Saccharomyces cerevisiae S288C: one gene and its partners. Changing the gene in region 3 together with the main gene of any one other region gives a genetic interaction. Each region holds a gene or a part of one and is shown on either strand. Other genes may lie near its edges.

The links.
Region 1: mutations in TKL1 (region 3) and GND1 are lethal when combined (synthetic lethality), as found in Saccharomyces cerevisiae (2 studies listed by BioGRID, with this or other methods).
Region 2: mutations in TKL1 (region 3) and LST4 together harm fitness more than expected from each alone (negative genetic interaction), as found in Saccharomyces cerevisiae (2 studies listed by BioGRID).
Region 4: mutations in TKL1 (region 3) and TAL1 impair growth when combined (synthetic growth defect), as found in Saccharomyces cerevisiae (one study listed by BioGRID).

Annotation. Positions count from the first base shown.
Region 1 is NC_001140.6:468,360-472,929, reverse strand, and holds GND1 (phosphogluconate dehydrogenase (decarboxylating) GND1), read right to left. Parts: upstream 1,971-4,570; coding exon 501-1,970; downstream 1-500. Other genes in the region: SSP1 (Ssp1p), read right to left, coding at 1-186; RGD3 (Rgd3p), read right to left, coding at 2,354-4,570. UniProt on the Saccharomyces cerevisiae protein: Catalyzes the oxidative decarboxylation of 6-phosphogluconate to ribulose 5-phosphate and CO(2), with concomitant reduction of NADP to NADPH.
Region 2 is NC_001143.9:114,477-120,011, reverse strand, and holds LST4 (Lst4p), read left to right. Parts: upstream 1-2,025; coding exon 2,026-4,512; downstream 4,513-5,535. Other genes in the region: Zn(2+) transporter ZRT3, read right to left, coding at 1-1,219; STE3 (Ste3p), read left to right, coding at 5,385-5,535. UniProt on the Saccharomyces cerevisiae protein: Involved in extracellular amino acid uptake. Required for the trafficking of the GAP1 nitrogen-regulated general amino acid permease from the Golgi to the plasma membrane.
Region 3 is NC_001148.4:691,923-696,728, forward strand, and holds TKL1 (transketolase TKL1), read right to left. Parts: upstream 2,917-4,806; coding exon 874-2,916; downstream 1-873. Other genes in the region: tyrosine protein phosphatase LTP1, read right to left, coding at 11-496; OPY2 (Opy2p), read right to left, coding at 3,815-4,806. UniProt on the Saccharomyces cerevisiae protein: Catalyzes the transfer of a two-carbon ketol group from a ketose donor to an aldose acceptor, via a covalent intermediate with the cofactor thiamine pyrophosphate.
Region 4 is NC_001144.5:835,653-839,710, reverse strand, and holds TAL1 (sedoheptulose-7-phosphate:D-glyceraldehyde-3-phosphate transaldolase TAL1), read left to right. Parts: upstream 1-2,353; coding exon 2,354-3,361; downstream 3,362-4,058. Other genes in the region: ILV5 (ketol-acid reductoisomerase), read left to right, coding at 458-1,645; BUD8 (Bud8p), read right to left, coding at 3,548-4,058. UniProt on the Saccharomyces cerevisiae protein: Transaldolase is important for the balance of metabolites in the pentose-phosphate pathway.

The DNA of each region.
Region 1 (4,570 bases), on a different chromosome or scaffold from region 3:
ATAAAAATTCTTGTTAAATATTTCAGGAACATCCTCCTCTCCTTGGTGGTTGTTATTTTTCCCATTTTGTAACCACCTGCGCATTCTTTCCCTAAATTTGGTAGGCTTTTTCTGCTTCGACTGCTTTGGGGAAGTTGAGGTTATTTCCCCAGAAGGATCATTCTCATATGTGCCAGAGCTTCTCATTGTTGCTAGCTTTTCTACTCTACTTCTATCATGATAATAGGCACTATTGTGAAATTTTTCACTTTTATTTTATTTTCTGACTTCATGATTTTGTGTCGCCTGTTTGCCTTTCCTTACGTAAAAAAAAAAAAAGAAATGGAGATAGTTTCGGGACCCCGTTTATAAACCTTTAATATTTTAGAAAACACATAACTTCATATACTATTTATAATTGCATTTGGATTTATTTATCTATTTATTATTATGATTACTTTTACTATAACTAATCTATTTCATTAAATTTTTTTGGTTTATGTCCAGGTTGGAGATTTCCTTTAAGCTTGGTATGTAGAGGAAGAAACATTACCACCGTGGCCAGTCCAGTTGATATGGATATCCTTGTCTACTGGCAAGTTGTCAGAAGCACATTCTGGCAACACTCTGAAAGTGTGAGCACCAAAGTAGTCACGTTGAGCTTGTAGTAAGTTGGCTGGCAATCTTTCAGATCTGTACCCATCGTAGAAAGACAAAGCGGTGGAAAAGGCTGGTGTTGGGATACCGTAGGTGGTAGCCAACGCAATTGACTTTCTCCAACCAGATTGAGCCTTGGTGACGGCATCAGCGAAGAACTTGTTGAACAACAAGTTTTCCAAATCTGGTTCTTCTCTGTAGGCCTTTGTGATTTGACCCAAGAAAACAGATCTAATGATACAACCACCTCTCCACATCAAAGCGATGGCAGGGTTGTTTAGTTTCCAGCCATAAGTAGCAGCAGCTTCACGGATCAACATGAAACCTTGAGCGTAAGAAATAATCTTGGAAGCATACAAAGCTTGTTCCAAATCATCGACAAATTGTTCTCTGTCCTTGACGGCGTCTTTTGGAACTTCTGGGCCTGGTAAGACCTTGGAGGCTCTAATTCTCTCGTTCTTCAAAGCAGATAGACAACGGGCAAAGACAGCTTCACCAATCAAAGTAACTGGCATACCCAAATCCAAGGCGTTGATGGCAGTCCACTTACCAGTACCCTTTTGACCAGCAGTATCCATGATTTTTTCAACTAATGGCTTACCGTCGACGTCGTCGAATTTCAAAATATCTCTGGTAATTTCGACCAAGAAGGAATCCAAGACACCATTGTTCCATTTGGCAAAAACGTCACTGATTTCCTTATCGGTAAACCCACCCAATCTCTTCATGATGTCATAAGCTTCACAAATCAATTGCATATCACCGTATTCAATACCGTTGTGAACCATCTTGACGTAGTGACCAGCACCGGCTGGGCCAACCCATTCGCAACATGGTTCACCGTCGGATTTAGCAGAGATGGATTGGAAGATGTTCTTAATATGTGGCCAAGCTTCTTCAGAACCACCTGGCATCAAAGATGGACCGTAACGGGCACCTTCCTCACCACCGGAGACACCAGAACCAACGAAAAGAATACCCTTCTTCTTCAATTCTTCGTAACGTCTATTAGAATCTGGGAAGTGAGAGTTACCACCATCGATGATAATATCACCCTTTTCCAAAAGTGGGACGATTTGGTTGATCAAAGCGTCAACTGGAGCACCAGCTTTAACCAAAAGCATGACCTTTCTAGGTCTCTTCAATTTGGAGATGAAATCTTCAATGGAAGTAGCACCGATGATAGATTTGCCCTTAGCTTCATTGGCCAAGAAATGGTCGACCTTGGATTGAGTTCTGTTGTAAGCACAAACAGTGAAACCGTGGTCAGCAGCGTTCAAGATCAAATTTTGACCCATGACGGCCAAACCAATCAAACCGAAATCAGCAGACATTTTATTGTAGTTTTTGTATAGAAAGTGGCTTTTTTCTGTAATGGCAACAATACAGGTTTATATGTATCAGGCTATTTACTTTATTATGTAAGAAAGGACCCCACTAAGAAAAAAGGAAACCTTTGAAAAAGAAACAAGCTCAGGAACAATACTGCAGCTTTTAACGAACATCAGGCCCATTTATATAATACAGCCTCGAAGCCCACCAAGGCCAAAGCGCAAGGCCGCGTGGACCACCAGGACGAAGCACCGCGTAACACCGAGGCACCGTAATGTAACACCGACAGCCACAATAGGTACAAAAGCAGCACAACCTCGAGGCGGGACGAAAGAACAGAGAGGTAGCAGGTGATTTACGTAGTTACTATGTAGCATGCATGGAGTTATGTAGAAGGGACATCGTTGACGTTGATGGGAAGGAATAAACCACTCTTACGTTTAGGTCTCTCTGGGGTTGTCGGAGTAGAACTAGTCTTGAATGGCCGAGGTATGAAATGGCCATCCTTGTCGTTTGGCGGTGGCTTAGGGGTAGAGTGTATAGGTGCCGTTGTATCCTTTATAATTATCGTCGGCGGTTCAGTGAGTGTCGCAGTAGTTGCCGTCGTGATCCTGTTTGCGATCAACGTTTGCAAAGTTTCTACAGTTCTTTCGTTGATGAAAAATGTAGATAATGTTGGTGACAAGATTTTGATGTCGATAGGGTTCTGTAAGCCTGTTCTTCTTACGAAGTGATGGGCCAATGGTATGTCTATGTCACTGTTGTCTCTAAACAAATCTTGTATTGTTTGCGGCGGAAGTGAGTATTTGCTATTGATCAATTGAAAATGGTTTGCTAGTTCTTGTAGAAACCTTAAGGAGCTCGTCGGAAACTGTTCACATAGGGATGTTAGCGATTTTTCGGCCTTAATTAAGTCATCGTAGTGGTTTGAAGGTATTAGGCTGTCGGGTAGCTCTAACAGCCATAATTTTATCAGTCCGACGAGATCATTAGTGACATAGCTGTGCGAGTTTTCAAAAAAATGAGCAGTGATTATAGAGTTTGTATTTTCGGTAGTTTTCGATCCTTTGAATTCCCCCAATAAGTCTCTTTTCAAATTAGAAACCCTTACAAAATCAATATCCCTGTGCCAACTTTGTATGACTTTATTAGCATTTGGTTCCTTTTCAATCTGCCGCAGTATAATCTTTATTGCCCCTAACGTATCAAGAGCAGCCAGTTCATTATTTATTTCACTACCACAGAAAAACTTTTCGCTTTTTATGGAGATTTCTTTGCAAGCGTCGACTGGATCACTCGCTTCTAGGATATTCCACCTGCGAAAGGGTATGCCATTATCCCTGAGGAAAAACCCTCTTACATCCGCATTGGCAGTTTCCTGTGGCAGTTGTGCTTCTTGTAGAGAACACACAGGTGAGTCAGTAAATTTTTCACATTTTTGTTGAAACATCATGTTTGATGATTCTAGAGCTCGTTTGATTCCGTCCTCCATTTTAGAGTAATTTTTACAATAATCATAAATGGTTTTTTCCAACTGCACTTTAGAATATTCCAACTGGCAACACTTGGAGAAAAAAATATCTTGTGATGATTCAAGTTGCTGTTTTAAACTCTTCCACTCATTTTTATTCATATCTGTACTTCCCGCTGCATCGCAATCATCATTATCATGTTGACTAACTTTGCGGATCCAATCGGATATAGATGTTTTGATAGATGAAACGTTGGACTTTTCTTCGTGTTCATTGTCGGAGTGTGTTAACTCACCATACGATTTTTTTTTTCTGTTTCCAGCATTACCATTACTCTCTTGCGTAGCAAGGACTTCACTGTTCCAGTAATAGTATTTTTCCTGGTCAAACTGAGAAACTTTGCTAGAGTAAAAACTCAGGGAATATTCTTGTATTATACCCAGTTGGATGAATTCGTTACCTATCCTATCGATATTAAATAAGGACAGGTTTAGTCTGGGTTCAAGTTTTTTCAATTCTTTGATCAATGACCTGCCTTGGAAACTTTGATTTGACAATCCTGGAACGGAAAAGACACTTTTCTCCAGGATGACTTTTCCCTTCAAGGTTTGCAAAAATGACATAAATTGGTCGCAATCCTCAAATTTTAACCTCTCGTCTAAAGTGTAAGGAAACTCGCATACGAAGTTCAACCTGGTTAACGGTGCACTATCCTTTCCATTATCAAAAACAGAGGAAGAATTTTCCACTGGCGTATTGGCTTTTTTCAATTTATATATAGACTGAACTCTTTTCTCACATCCAATTAGTGCCTCTTTAGCTGCGACTAAATCCTTAATGTAAGCTGAATAACGAGATGACAAATCGTTTTCTGCCTCACGAAGGAAGCTCTCATTAAGATCTCTTAGTTCTTGCAATGGAATTTTACAATCTCTTTCAACTTGCTCTGTTGATATTATATTAAACTGTTTGCTCATCACTTCCAGCAGCCTGCTATTCATTGAATTGGTTGCTTCCATTTTTTGTAAATTGTTCAATGTTGGTTTCCAAAATTTGTTGACAAAATCATTGTAAAATTTGATGTCTTTAATCAGCAAATCATTTTCTCTCTTCATATGTTTTATGAATAA
Region 2 (5,535 bases), on a different chromosome or scaffold from region 3:
GAACGGCAGTAATCAAAATGGCAACCCATTTAGATTCGAAAACAGTGTAGAATGGTAACGTCATTGCAAATCCTTCGACAAAATTATGGATCGTCAAACTTAAAAAAATGGAAAATCCCAAGGACTTTGACGAATCTGACCTGTTAGTGTAAAAAATAATAAACCCTTCGGGAAATTTGTGTAATGCAAGGACTAGACAAGTTTGCATACCAATAGACAGTAATTTGGAAAAAGGGGTCTCTAAGTGATGATGGTGGGGGTATAATGAACCATTTTCGGGATGGTATTGTGTGTCTGCCAATGCGGCCGGATTCTCAGTTACATCATTTCCCAAAGGTGACGAAAAAGAGTGCGACAACTGGTTGGAACCATAATTTTCGGGCGATTCAGAGGAATGATGATGGCGGCTCGAAAGAAAATTCTTACGGTACAACGATAGGTTTTCAAGATCGTAACCGATATTATTTTCCACGCATACAAGGCCACGATGATCCTTGTCATCGGATTGTCCATTATCTTCTGATCCCTCGCATCCATGTGGCACGTTTCTTTCACTTTGAGAAGACTTTATCACTGGTGGGACACATGCAATATATTCTGGCTGCTCTGATTGCAAGAGCGGAGTGCACTTGTTTAGGTCACAACACTCGCCTTCTGATTTCCTTCTGGTTAATAAGTCAATTAGGGACATTTTCTTTTTCATTTGGGGTCTATCGCTATCCTTTGTAATCAACGGGTCATTTTCAGAAACACTGGAAGAAGATGTTGCATAACCATGCTCAGAGGGAGCATTTTCTAAATCATGATCGTTGCTAAAATTCGAATGCGAATCCGCATGTGAGTGTGAGTGCGAATGCGAATGTGATTTGGAGTGTATATGTGAACCTGTAGCATGGTCACCGCTATCAGCACAGTGTACCAACGATTCGCTGGCGAAAGCGTGGACTAGGTAGTTTAAGAAAAAACTGAGGCAAATACCCAAAAGCAATCCAGGAAAAACCTTGAACCGGTTTGATTTTTCGATCCGAGGCAATAGCATGTATAGTGAAGTAGTGATCATAGATCCGGCACTTAGAGAAAGACCATAGTTGACCAACTTAGATTGGCTATTGCGCTTGCTATCGAAGGCAACCGATAACAACGGCACACACAGGGCCCCAAGTATGCACAGCACCGACGATATAAGAGAAAACAACAACCACCTGGGAATTTTTTCCATTTTCTTGCGTTTCTTCACTGTGATGCTTGTGAGAATATTAGGATATACCAACGTGCAACTCTGAAATGTCAAAACGGTCGTGTATAAATAAATGATATACCAGTAGGTGAAATCATCTCATTTGTCTTTCTAAAAAAGTCCATTACCCTTAAGGTTGTTGTCACAACCCACGGAGCAGTTTTAGAGGTGCAAAATTGAAAGAATGGCCACATTTTGAGCAATTCATCGACAACAAGAGCTTATGATTAACTTGGGTTGTGGGCAATTGGGTGTACTATGAAGCAGCCAATACCTGTTTTACAACAGTATTCTCAGTTTCAGCTTAGAGATGTGTCAAATCGAAGGCTAGTGTGGTGCACGGAGTTTATGGCACATTGGTAAGTAATCATTGCAACTTTTTTTTATTTGAGGAATATAGTAAGAGAGAAGCTTTAGTGATGGTCAAAGAAGAGAGGAATACAAGTGAGTTGTATCTAGGATTTTTTATTACGTGAGTGTTGTTTTACTTTAGTCGGTAGGAATCATTGTTATTTTTGTCTGTTTGTTTGTCTCTATTTTTGGGTACACGTGCGTGTTTCTTCTAGTGGATGGTTTGAACGAAGCAGGTTCTCAGGATTGATTGATTGATCTGCTTTAGTGTGTAACGTTCTGCGACTAGCTTTCGTTGCTACCGATATATAAAGAAAAAAAGGAGAGCGTGTGTTTGGAGCGTCTTAAACCCCATTGGTGAGAGCCTCCAGTACCATTTGCCTGTTAAAACTGTCTTGTGTGTGGCCTTGTAGAGAAGGTGAAGAGGGAGAGTTTATATGTTGGGTAATTTACTGAGAAATAAGACGAGTTCGTCTGGTTTTGAGAAGAGCTCAGAGCATTCCGATTTTTCCTCCGTAGTTCCCAATGTCCCTGTATACTGCAAAGCGGCAAGCACAGGAACTACTAAGACCGCTGCTGGAGCTCTTTTAGATACTGCAGTCAATGTGGAAAAGCCTTCGGAAATGCTATCAACGACTTCTCCGCCCATTTTAGATCATATATCGGATGACTTAAAACTGAAGCTTTTCGGCTCGAGGGATATTCCTTATAGTCGTCCTATCGATACGTTACAAAACAACGGAGGTCTTGGTACTGATAAAATCACGTCTATTAACGAAAAAACGTATGCATTCAGGATTTTGATCATTGAGGAAGCGGGTCAAATGGCGTGTAGGAACAACTACCGTGATATCTTCGATTACACTACGTCAAAGATTTCAAATTCGATGGAGCAGATACGGCCGAGTGAATTGAAGGAATATATATTTGGTTCTCCCGTAAGATCTTCCGATTTGACGCAGTGCGACAAGATAAGGACGATTCCTAACTCGGATTTGGTACTCATAACTAGAATTTTCTATTACACACACCAATACAACCGCATCGCAATTAGCTTATGCATACCGAGGATATTGTTGCCCGTAGTTGCAGAGTCGTGGTCTTCCATTTCATCATGGTTGACCCAGACTCAAAAAATGCTCATTGGTTTCTTGACTAAAAACCGTATTATGCAAGAAAATACTGGCAATTACAGCAATAATTCAGTCATAAAATTGTCAAATATTGACATCAGGACGCATTATCCCAAGGAAATTGAAATAATGGTGCAAACTTTACAAAAAAGAGTCATACCAGGTTTACGTTCTATGTCTGAGATTCCTAGGCTTTTCCTTTACCCTGAGACATTTAAAGAATTCGTTCACGTTTGGTTCAAAAGTATATTTAATTGGATTGAAATCAAAGATGGACCGAAACTAGGCTTCCTTCCTCTCCTAATGGCAATGATTATATCTGATTACAGGCACACTATAAGAGAACTAAAGACATCCAAGATCGTAATCCTGTCAGGAAACATGGTGGTTGCTAACAAGTTACTGTTCATCTTATCGGCTTTATTGGAGCCAAAGTACAAGGGACAAATAACGATACGGCGGGAAAACATAAGATCGGATTCGTCCGCTGTATCAAGAAATAAGTCTAACAATAATTTTGTCGATAAGCCTGAGACGGAATTGAGCACACTGACTTCAACAGACAACCTTTTGAGTCGCACAGAAAATAATAGCAATCATAATTACAACAACAGTAATGTGAGCTCTAACAGCATTGGATCACCCAATTTCCATTCTTTGAGGAAAGGATGGCAAATACCCAATCGGAGGAACTCGAACACTTCAGTATCTGTGTCTTCTAGTGAGTCTTTAGCGGAAGTTATTCAGCCATCTTCCTTCAAAAGTGGGAGTAGTTCATTGCATTATCTATCGTCTTCTATCTCAAGCCAACCTGGTTCGTACGGTTCTTGGTTCAACAAAAGGCCAACAATTTCTCAGTTCTTTCAACCAAGCCCTTCTTTAAAACACAACGAGTCGTGGGAGAGGCTGCAAACAACTGCTGGAAATATGCAAAGGACTTCAAGTTCGTCTTCTTTGCAGCAAGCAACCTCCAGGTTATCACTAACCACTCCGCAACAATCACCGTCTATCAGCGAATATGATGAGTATCCTTGGATGGGCACACCTGGCTCTCCTAATGTTGGAGATGTGTCTCACGCACCCCCATTGGTTAAGAATATATCATATAAATTTCCACTAAAGAACGTTGAGTTGAAAAGAGATTGCCAAAGGATCTCTCAGGATGATCTTTTGGATGAGGCTTTTGAAAGAATATGTCAGCCCTCTTTGGCTGACCTTAATTCCACTTACGAAATTTTTCCAGGTAACTCTTCTTATGCGGATATTTTGACTACTGATTCTGATATTGATGATGGCTTGATGAATAAACCTCTGGAACTATTGCCGAAATATACAATGTATTTAACCCATTTTAACAATTTTTTCCAGTTGCAAGCATGTCCTGCTGGTCAAGAATCAGAGAGCAGAATAACAAATTCTATGAAGATTGACCTGTTAAAGGCGGATTACACAAGAAGTCTATTAGTATCGTTACGTTCAAGGGACATTAGGGATGTCGCATTGAAAAGAGAGTTTACTGGCAATAACAACAATAACAGCAACCAGAATATCTATGATGAGAATTTTGTCGGAAAAAGGAAGTACGTGTTGAAACAGAAGACCAGAAAAATCTTTTCCTGTGGCAAGATTGGCAAGCTAAGTACTAGTTTGGAAAACTGCGTTAATTTTGTTGAAAATAGTATAAAGAGTGCAATGATGTTATATGATGATAATGGAATAGATAGTGAGCTTCGCGATTCAGAAGCTTTACGGATTTTTTCATCTCTTGTTCATTATTGTAATGCAGGTTAATGTTTTCTCCTTCTTTACATGTTTAATATATTCCAAGTTACCTAAGAGGTGTACGATATTTTTTTCTTTTATATATATGATTTTCTCTATTCATTTTTTAGTTTTTTTTGATACATAAGCGAATCGCACATTGCGCAACTTCAATTTGTTGATTCGCCAAAGTATTCTTACCATAAAACAACCATTCGTTGCTTTACCCTTTCGTAATCATTTACCGTGATAACCATAATCAGAAACTTATTATTTCAGCCTAGTAGACCGGCCAAGCAGGCCTTGTAATGTTTCTCTTGATTGCTTGAATCTTTTAAGCAGCCAAATCTTTCCAAAAAAATGCAATTATCAGAACAAAACTATTTAAGGTGACTTCTCCGTATTTACACCACCAGAAGCGTTCTGGCTCCCCTTTTCTCTAAACGTTAAACATTTTACAATTGAAATGTTACCAATCCTATATTATTGTACCACATTGCCAGATTTATGAACTCTGGGTATGGGTGCTAATTTTCGTTAGAAGCGCTGGTACAATTTTCTCTGTCATTGTGACACTAATTAGGAAACTTCTCGACTATCAATGTGTAAATGAAGGAATAATGGCGGAAACTTTGAAACTTTGTCAATAATTGCATCATTGGATGCGTTTCATTTGGCCGTTATCACGGAGAGGCAGAGTTCTCTCCACAATTTGGGCAGAAGTCTTTTGAAAAGACATATATATATATATATATGTATATGAGTGGATGCTTAAGGTAAGAATAATTTCTGAATTCCCAAGTATTCATTTTGTGCAGTATTCACATATTCTATTTTATTGCTTTTTAACTTTAGAGGCAATTAAATTTGTGTAGGAAAGGCAAAATACTATCAAAATTTTCATGTCATACAAGTCAGCAATAATAGGGCTTTGTTTGCTAGCTGTGATACTATTAGCTCCCCCTTTAGCATGGCATTCACATACCAAGAATATTCCAGCAATCATTTTGATAACATGGCTTCTTACAATGAATTTAACGTGTATTGTAGATG
Region 3 (4,806 bases):
ACTTGCTAGCTTATAACTCTTTTTTTAAAAACTGTTTGGAGAAATAGGTGATTTGTTTGAAGTTGTACTCGAAATCTTGTATGTCACCATACCAAGGATCTTCAATAATGGTCTGCACAGTGCCATCATTAGTATTCCAATCACCAAAAAGGCAAACTTTAGCTTTAGAACCTTCAGGTTGTATTTTTTTTAGGTTATTAATGTTGGATTCATCCATACCGATTATATAGTCATATTCATCGAAGTGTTTGGTCTTTATTTGTTTCCCTTTATGATTAATCTTGACGCCATGTTGCTTACAAATGGACACTGTACGATGATCAGGGCTTTCCCCCACATGATAATTAGAAGTGCCAAATGAATCAATCTTGTTGAATCGATTTTCTAGATTAGCCTTTTCGACTTCATGTTTGAAAATGGCTTCCGCCATTGGTGATCTACAGAAGTTACCCAAACAAATGAATGCGACCGATATTTTTGGTTTTTCAATTGTCATTTTCGTGTTAACTTTCCCTTCTCAGTTTTCTATCGCTTATCAAAAATCACAGGGTTTCAATTAGCCTTTTAGGAGTTATATTCTTTATTGGCTTTATACTTGAATGGTGTGATTCTCTCGAAGGGTTTAACATTCAAGCTCGGCCATGTGCTGGTACAAGGAAAAAGAAAGAAAAAGTAATCATTGAAATTTTTCTATAATACGTACACCTATAATATAAGAAGGAAAAGGACTGAGTGTTTGGAATATTGTTAAAAGTTTGAAACTATTTTTTTGCTTAATCGTTTATAAAAAAAGTTGTATTTAAGTTGTATAAAGTTTTATTTCATTTTTTCACAAATAATATCATATCAAATCTGATGATCTACGATCAGAATTTAGAAAGCTTTTTTCAAAGGAGAAATTAGCTTGTCACCCTTATAGAATGCAATGGTCTTTTGAGCTCTTTCAGCAACACCTTCTGGGGTGAAACCGAAGAACTTGAAGACTTCTGGTGCCTTACCGGAGGCACCAAATCTGTCAATACCGAAGGATTGATGAGCGTATTTGCCCCAACATGTGGTAGCCAAAACTTCAACAGACATGATTGGAACGTTGTCTGGTAAGACTGATAGTCTGTATTCTAGGGGTTGTTTGTCAAAAGTGAAGAAATCTGGTAGAGAAACAACACGAGCCTTGATGTTCTTTGCGGCCAAAGTCTTAGCAGCTTCAACACTCAAAGACACTTCGGAACCAGTAGCCACTAAAATAATATCTGGGTTAGCAACATCTTGTAGTACGTAACCACCCTTAGAAGCGCTTTCAATAGAGCTACCTTCCAATTGTGGCAAGTTTTGTCTGGACAAAGCAATGATACTTGGAGTATGCTTGGATTCTAAAGAGTTCTTGTAGGCGGCAGAAACTTCGTTACCATCAGCTGGTCTCCAAACTTGAATGTTTGGTAGGGATCTGAAGTGTGCTAAAGTTTCAATAGGTTGATGTGTTGGACCATCTTCACCGACACCGATAGAGTCATGTGTAGCAACCCAAATAACTGGGTGGCCAGACAAAGCGGACAATCTAACGGCACCAGCAGCATAAGAAACGAAGTTCAAGAAAGTACCACCGTATGGTTTGTAGTTGGCACCGAAAGCTGAAATACCGTTCATTATGGCACCCATAGCGTGTTCTCTAATACCGTACCTAATGTATCTACCAGAGTAGTTACCTGAACCGGAAGAAGGAGGTTGGAAGTCAAGGGCTTCCTTCCATCTGGTCAAGTTAGAAGGTGTTAAATCGGCAGAACCACCAATCAACTCTGGCAATTGATTGTAAACATCCTCAAGAACAGTTTCTGATAATTTTCTAGTGGCCACGGCAGAGTCCTTGGCGGTGTAAGTTGGCAACTTAGATTCCCAATTTGCGGGTAGTTGGCCGCTCAATCTTCTAGCCAATTCAGCACCTAATTCTGGGAATTTCTTTTGGTATTCGCTGAACAACTTGTTCCACTTGTTGTTGGCTTCGACACCTGGCTTTAAAATTGTCTTTTGGTAGTGGTCGTAAACTTCTTGTGGAACAACAAAGGACTTGTCTGGGTTGAAACCGAATTTGCTCTTTAGTTGTTTAACATCATCTGCTTTCAATGGGGCACCGTGCACAGAGTGAGAGCCGGCATGCAAGGAACCGTAACCAATGGTTGTGGTCATTTTGATCAAAGTTGGTTTGTCCTTGGATAACTTAGCTTGAGCAATAGCCTTGGCAATACCGGCTAGATCTTCGTTACCATTTTCTACGTACAAAACTTCCCAACCGTAGGCTTCGTATCTCTTAGCAACATCTTCATCGAATGAGATACTGGTAGCACCATCGATAGTGATCTTGTTGTCATCGTAGATGGCAATCAAGTTACCCAATTTCAAATGACCAGCCAAGGAGGAAGCTTCTGAAGAAATACCTTCTTGCAAACAACCGTCACCCAAGAAAACATAGGTGTAGTTGTCAGACAAGGTAAAGCCCGGCTTGTTGTAAGTGGCAGCCAGGTTAGCTTGAGCCATGGCCATACCAACAGCGTTGGAGATACCTTGACCTAATGGACCGGTAGTAACTTCAACACCTGGCAACTCAAATTCAGGATGACCTGGTGTTCTGGAACCCAACTGTCTGAACTGTTTCAAGTCTTCAATAGACAGATCGTAACCAGTCAAATGTAGCATAGAATACAACAAAGCGACCGCGTGACCGTTAGACAAGACAAATCTATCTCTGTTGATCCAGTCTGGGTTGGTTGGGTTCATGCGCATTTGACTCCATAGAACGTGTGCAGCTGGTGCCATACCCAATGGAGCACCTGGGTGACCTGAGTTGGCCTTGGATACGGTGTCCACAGCCAAAATTCTTATGGTGGAGACGGCTAGCTTATCAATGTCAGTGAATTGAGTCATTTTGTTTGCTAAAGAGGTAACTATGTAGAGTTGCTTGGGATGAGCTTCCTTCTCTGTTGTACTTCAGTTTGATCTGAAACTTAAAAAACGAAATTTAAAAGGAAGACAACGGTGAGAACAAGAAATGAATGAATCAAGAAGTCACGATCAAGTATGTAGGTAAAAGATCAGGGGGGAGTATGTACGTAACCAAAAAGATTGGGAAAGAGTTTATATATGAATCATGCCTACGATCGTACCTTCTTGGCTTTCCCAAGAAAATTTTTCATCTCTCGAACTTCTCGAGAGATTGCGAACGGAACGGCAAACGCCGCCGGCATTTCTCGGAAAGAAGACTAGAAAATAAATGACGGTGGGAAAAAAAGCAAGAAGCTACGGTTACCCGCAGCGGCACTATAGTAGATGGGCTTTTAAGCCCGTTTTCAGGGTCAGGTAATATGTAATGTAGTAGCACTTAAACTTGCTAACCATAAATGACCAAAATGCAAGTTTGCTGTATTTTAGTCCCGTTGGCGTTTTCGGATGCTTCATTCCCCAGAGAAGTGATGTGTATGCGAAAAATGTCTCAATGCAGCTTTGGCTGCTGCGGAACTTATCCGCTTTGTAAGCACATCTTGTTTTAATGTGTATGAATTTTTATATTTGGTTCGAAAATTATGACATTCGGCCAAGAAACTTTCAGAGGAGCTGTGTATTAGCAGATGGTAAGCGCACGTTGAAAATGCTGAATATTATTAATTTAGACATACCTTGATGGCTGAACAGTAGTCAGAAAATTAAAAAAAAAAAAAAAGCGCTTATTACGGCGTATACACGTAACTATATAGACGTAGATCATTGAATATTGATATGATATAATATTTTCCCCGGGATTGCAGAATACTGACACGCCTTTTATTTATCGTTCATCGTGTATTTCGAACTTGTCCTCAAACGGGCTCTCAGTGCGACTGCCCTGGGTGCTCTCGCGTATCGATTCTGGAATTTCCAAGTCCAGTATAAAACTTCCTTCTTCATCGTCATCTTCGTCGTTATTACCATGGCTTGCCTCGCTTTTTGCCATGTGTGAAAGATCATCCGCCTCTGTCTGTTCTTCAATGACATCCAAGTCCTGAATCTCCTTATCACTCTCTTCCTCTGCGATTTGAACCAGTTTAGGTTTAGCACGAATAGCAGTTATGAGGTTATCGTCTGCGTCCTTATTGAGTACCTGGTTATGCTCGTCATCTTCGTCATCCAGACCATCCAAGATGGAAGAACCTAAGGTTATATGTGACCTGATATCACCAGCTGCATTTTGTCTCTTAGAGCTCGAGCGTAGTTTTGATTGCAGTTTGTCGGTACTCAAACCGCTTGTCACACCAGGAATGTAGGCAATAGGCAAAATATTAGAAGCCCTTGTACGAGTGGTAGATGCTGAACTTCTGTTTCCCGGCACGTTGAGAGTTGGAGGTACCAGTGACGTATTGAACAGGGTGTGACTTTCATCTTTTCTCATACCGCCATCATCCTCATCGTCTTCATCATCATCGTCTTCATCGTCGAAGTATTCCTCTTCATTCCCGTAACTTTGCGATGCCTCTTCCAATTTCAAAGCTTTATTTTTTTGCCTTTTGGGCTTCCAATATCTCTTGTTGATGAAATACAACGCCACCAAGGCAATAAGCATCGCACCACCTACAATACCCACGGTGAACCCCACAATCAACGAGGTTTTCTCATTTGAATTACTGGAACTAGAACTAGAGGAGGAGGAAGATAAACTACTCAGTTGTGAATCGGACTGTTTCGCACAGTATGTGGATGGGCACTTGTCACATGTTAATGAAGTCATAACACAATATTCTCCTGAAGCGCAAACAGGGCATGATGCAGTTGAATCGCAAACAA
Region 4 (4,058 bases), on a different chromosome or scaffold from region 3:
ACTTGCTTGCTGTCAAACTTCTGAGTTGCCGCTGATGTGACACTGTGACAATAAATTCAAACCGGTTATAGCGGTCTCCTCCGGTACCGGTTCTGCCACCTCCAATAGAGCTCAGTAGGAGTCAGAACCTCTGCGGTGGCTGTCAGTGACTCATCCGCGTTTCGTAAGTTGTGCGCGTGCACATTTCGCCCGTTCCCGCTCATCTTGCAGCAGGCGAAATTTTCATCACGCTGTAGGACGCAAAAAAAAAATAATTAATCGTACAAGAATCTTGGAAAAAAAATTGAAAAATTTTGTATAAAAGGGATGACCTAACTTGACTCAATGGCTTTTACACCCAGTATTTTCCCTTTCCTTGTTTGTTACAATTATAGAAGCAAGACAAAAACATATAGACAACCTATTCCTAGGAGTTATATTTTTTTACCCTACCAGCAATATAAGTAAAAAATAAAACATGTTGAGAACTCAAGCCGCCAGATTGATCTGCAACTCCCGTGTCATCACTGCTAAGAGAACCTTTGCTTTGGCCACCCGTGCTGCTGCTTACAGCAGACCAGCTGCCCGTTTCGTTAAGCCAATGATCACTACCCGTGGTTTGAAGCAAATCAACTTCGGTGGTACTGTTGAAACCGTCTACGAAAGAGCTGACTGGCCAAGAGAAAAGTTGTTGGACTACTTCAAGAACGACACTTTTGCTTTGATCGGTTACGGTTCCCAAGGTTACGGTCAAGGTTTGAACTTGAGAGACAACGGTTTGAACGTTATCATTGGTGTCCGTAAAGATGGTGCTTCTTGGAAGGCTGCCATCGAAGACGGTTGGGTTCCAGGCAAGAACTTGTTCACTGTTGAAGATGCTATCAAGAGAGGTAGTTACGTTATGAACTTGTTGTCCGATGCCGCTCAATCAGAAACCTGGCCTGCTATCAAGCCATTGTTGACCAAGGGTAAGACTTTGTACTTCTCCCACGGTTTCTCCCCAGTCTTCAAGGACTTGACTCACGTTGAACCACCAAAGGACTTAGATGTTATCTTGGTTGCTCCAAAGGGTTCCGGTAGAACTGTCAGATCTTTGTTCAAGGAAGGTCGTGGTATTAACTCTTCTTACGCCGTCTGGAACGATGTCACCGGTAAGGCTCACGAAAAGGCCCAAGCTTTGGCCGTTGCCATTGGTTCCGGTTACGTTTACCAAACCACTTTCGAAAGAGAAGTCAACTCTGACTTGTACGGTGAAAGAGGTTGTTTAATGGGTGGTATCCACGGTATGTTCTTGGCTCAATACGACGTCTTGAGAGAAAACGGTCACTCCCCATCTGAAGCTTTCAACGAAACCGTCGAAGAAGCTACCCAATCTCTATACCCATTGATCGGTAAGTACGGTATGGATTACATGTACGATGCTTGTTCCACCACCGCCAGAAGAGGTGCTTTGGACTGGTACCCAATCTTCAAGAATGCTTTGAAGCCTGTTTTCCAAGACTTGTACGAATCTACCAAGAACGGTACCGAAACCAAGAGATCTTTGGAATTCAACTCTCAACCTGACTACAGAGAAAAGCTAGAAAAGGAATTAGACACCATCAGAAACATGGAAATCTGGAAGGTTGGTAAGGAAGTCAGAAAGTTGAGACCAGAAAACCAATAAAGAGGAAAATAATATCAAGTGCTGGAAACTTTTTCTCTTGGAATTTTTGCAACATCAAGTCATAGTCAATTGAATTGACCCAATTTCACATTTAAGATTTTTTTTTTTTCATCCGACATACATCTGTACACTAGGAAGCCCTGTTTTTCTGAAGCAGCTTCAAATATATATATTTTTTACATATTTATTATGATTCAATGAACAATCTAATTAAATCGAAAACAAGAACCGAAACGCGAATAAATAATTTATTTAGATGGTGACAAGTGTATAAGTCCTCATCGGGACAGCTACGATTTCTCTTTCGGTTTTGGCTGAGCTACTGGTTGCTGTGACGCAGCGGCATTAGCGCGGCGTTATGAGCTACCCTCGTGGCCTGAAAGATGGCGGGAATAAAGCGGAACTAAAAATTACTGACTGAGCCATATTGAGGTCAATTTGTCAACTCGTCAAGTCACGTTTGGTGGACGGCCCCTTTCCAACGAATCGTATATACTAACATGCGCGCGCTTCCTATATACACATATACATATATATATATATATATATGTGTGCGTGTATGTGTACACCTGTATTTAATTTCCTTACTCGCGGGTTTTTCTTTTTTCTCAATTCTTGGCTTCCTCTTTCTCGAGTATATAATTTTTCAGGTAAAATTTAGTACGATAGTAAAATACTTCTCGAACTCGTCACATATACGTGTACATAATGTCTGAACCAGCTCAAAAGAAACAAAAGGTTGCTAACAACTCTCTAGAACAATTGAAAGCCTCCGGCACTGTCGTTGTTGCCGACACTGGTGATTTCGGCTCTATTGCCAAGTTTCAACCTCAAGACTCCACAACTAACCCATCATTGATCTTGGCTGCTGCCAAGCAACCAACTTACGCCAAGTTGATCGATGTTGCCGTGGAATACGGTAAGAAGCATGGTAAGACCACCGAAGAACAAGTCGAAAATGCTGTGGACAGATTGTTAGTCGAATTCGGTAAGGAGATCTTAAAGATTGTTCCAGGCAGAGTCTCCACCGAAGTTGATGCTAGATTGTCTTTTGACACTCAAGCTACCATTGAAAAGGCTAGACATATCATTAAATTGTTTGAACAAGAAGGTGTCTCCAAGGAAAGAGTCCTTATTAAAATTGCTTCCACTTGGGAAGGTATTCAAGCTGCCAAAGAATTGGAAGAAAAGGACGGTATCCACTGTAATTTGACTCTATTATTCTCCTTCGTTCAAGCAGTTGCCTGTGCCGAGGCCCAAGTTACTTTGATTTCCCCATTTGTTGGTAGAATTCTAGACTGGTACAAATCCAGCACTGGTAAAGATTACAAGGGTGAAGCCGACCCAGGTGTTATTTCCGTCAAGAAAATCTACAACTACTACAAGAAGTACGGTTACAAGACTATTGTTATGGGTGCTTCTTTCAGAAGCACTGACGAAATCAAAAACTTGGCTGGTGTTGACTATCTAACAATTTCTCCAGCTTTATTGGACAAGTTGATGAACAGTACTGAACCTTTCCCAAGAGTTTTGGACCCTGTCTCCGCTAAGAAGGAAGCCGGCGACAAGATTTCTTACATCAGCGACGAATCTAAATTCAGATTCGACTTGAATGAAGACGCTATGGCCACTGAAAAATTGTCCGAAGGTATCAGAAAATTCTCTGCCGATATTGTTACTCTATTCGACTTGATTGAAAAGAAAGTTACCGCTTAAGGAAGTATCTCGGAAATATTAATTTAGGCCATGTCCTTATGCACGTTTCTTTTGATACTTACGGGTACATGTACACAAGTATATCTATATATATAAATTAATGAAAATCCCCTATTTATATATATGACTTTAACGAGACAGAACAGTTTTTTATTTTTTATCCTATTTGATGAATGATACAGTTTCTTATTCACGTGTTATACCCACACCAAATCCAATAGCAATACCGGCCATCACAATCACTGTTTCGGCAGCCCCTAAGATCAGACAAAACATCCGGAACCACCTTAAATCAACGTCCCATATGAATCCTTGCAGCAAAGCCGCTCGGTGTTCTTTATTCATAAGCAACCTCATTAATCTATAGTCTGAAACTAATTTCCTTCTTGAGCTGCAGCCAATAATAAAAAATAATGGCGGCACTATACTACAACATAGGAGGATCACAATGATGTTTTCGATGCTGTAAACGTCCCTGAATCCATTTTGACCTGAATCAAACGAATGAATGGAAGCGGTATCGATATGTTGAATTGGCATTCTCGCCTCCAGGTCTATATTTTCAGCATCGTGCCTGTCTTCTTTCCTATTATCAGTTTTTTCTTGTTGCTTTCGTCGTATGCTTCGAGCTGGCTTTTCTATAATGGAGTTCTGTCCCGTGTCTGACTCCGAGCTTTGAGATTTAATTGGAGCTAGC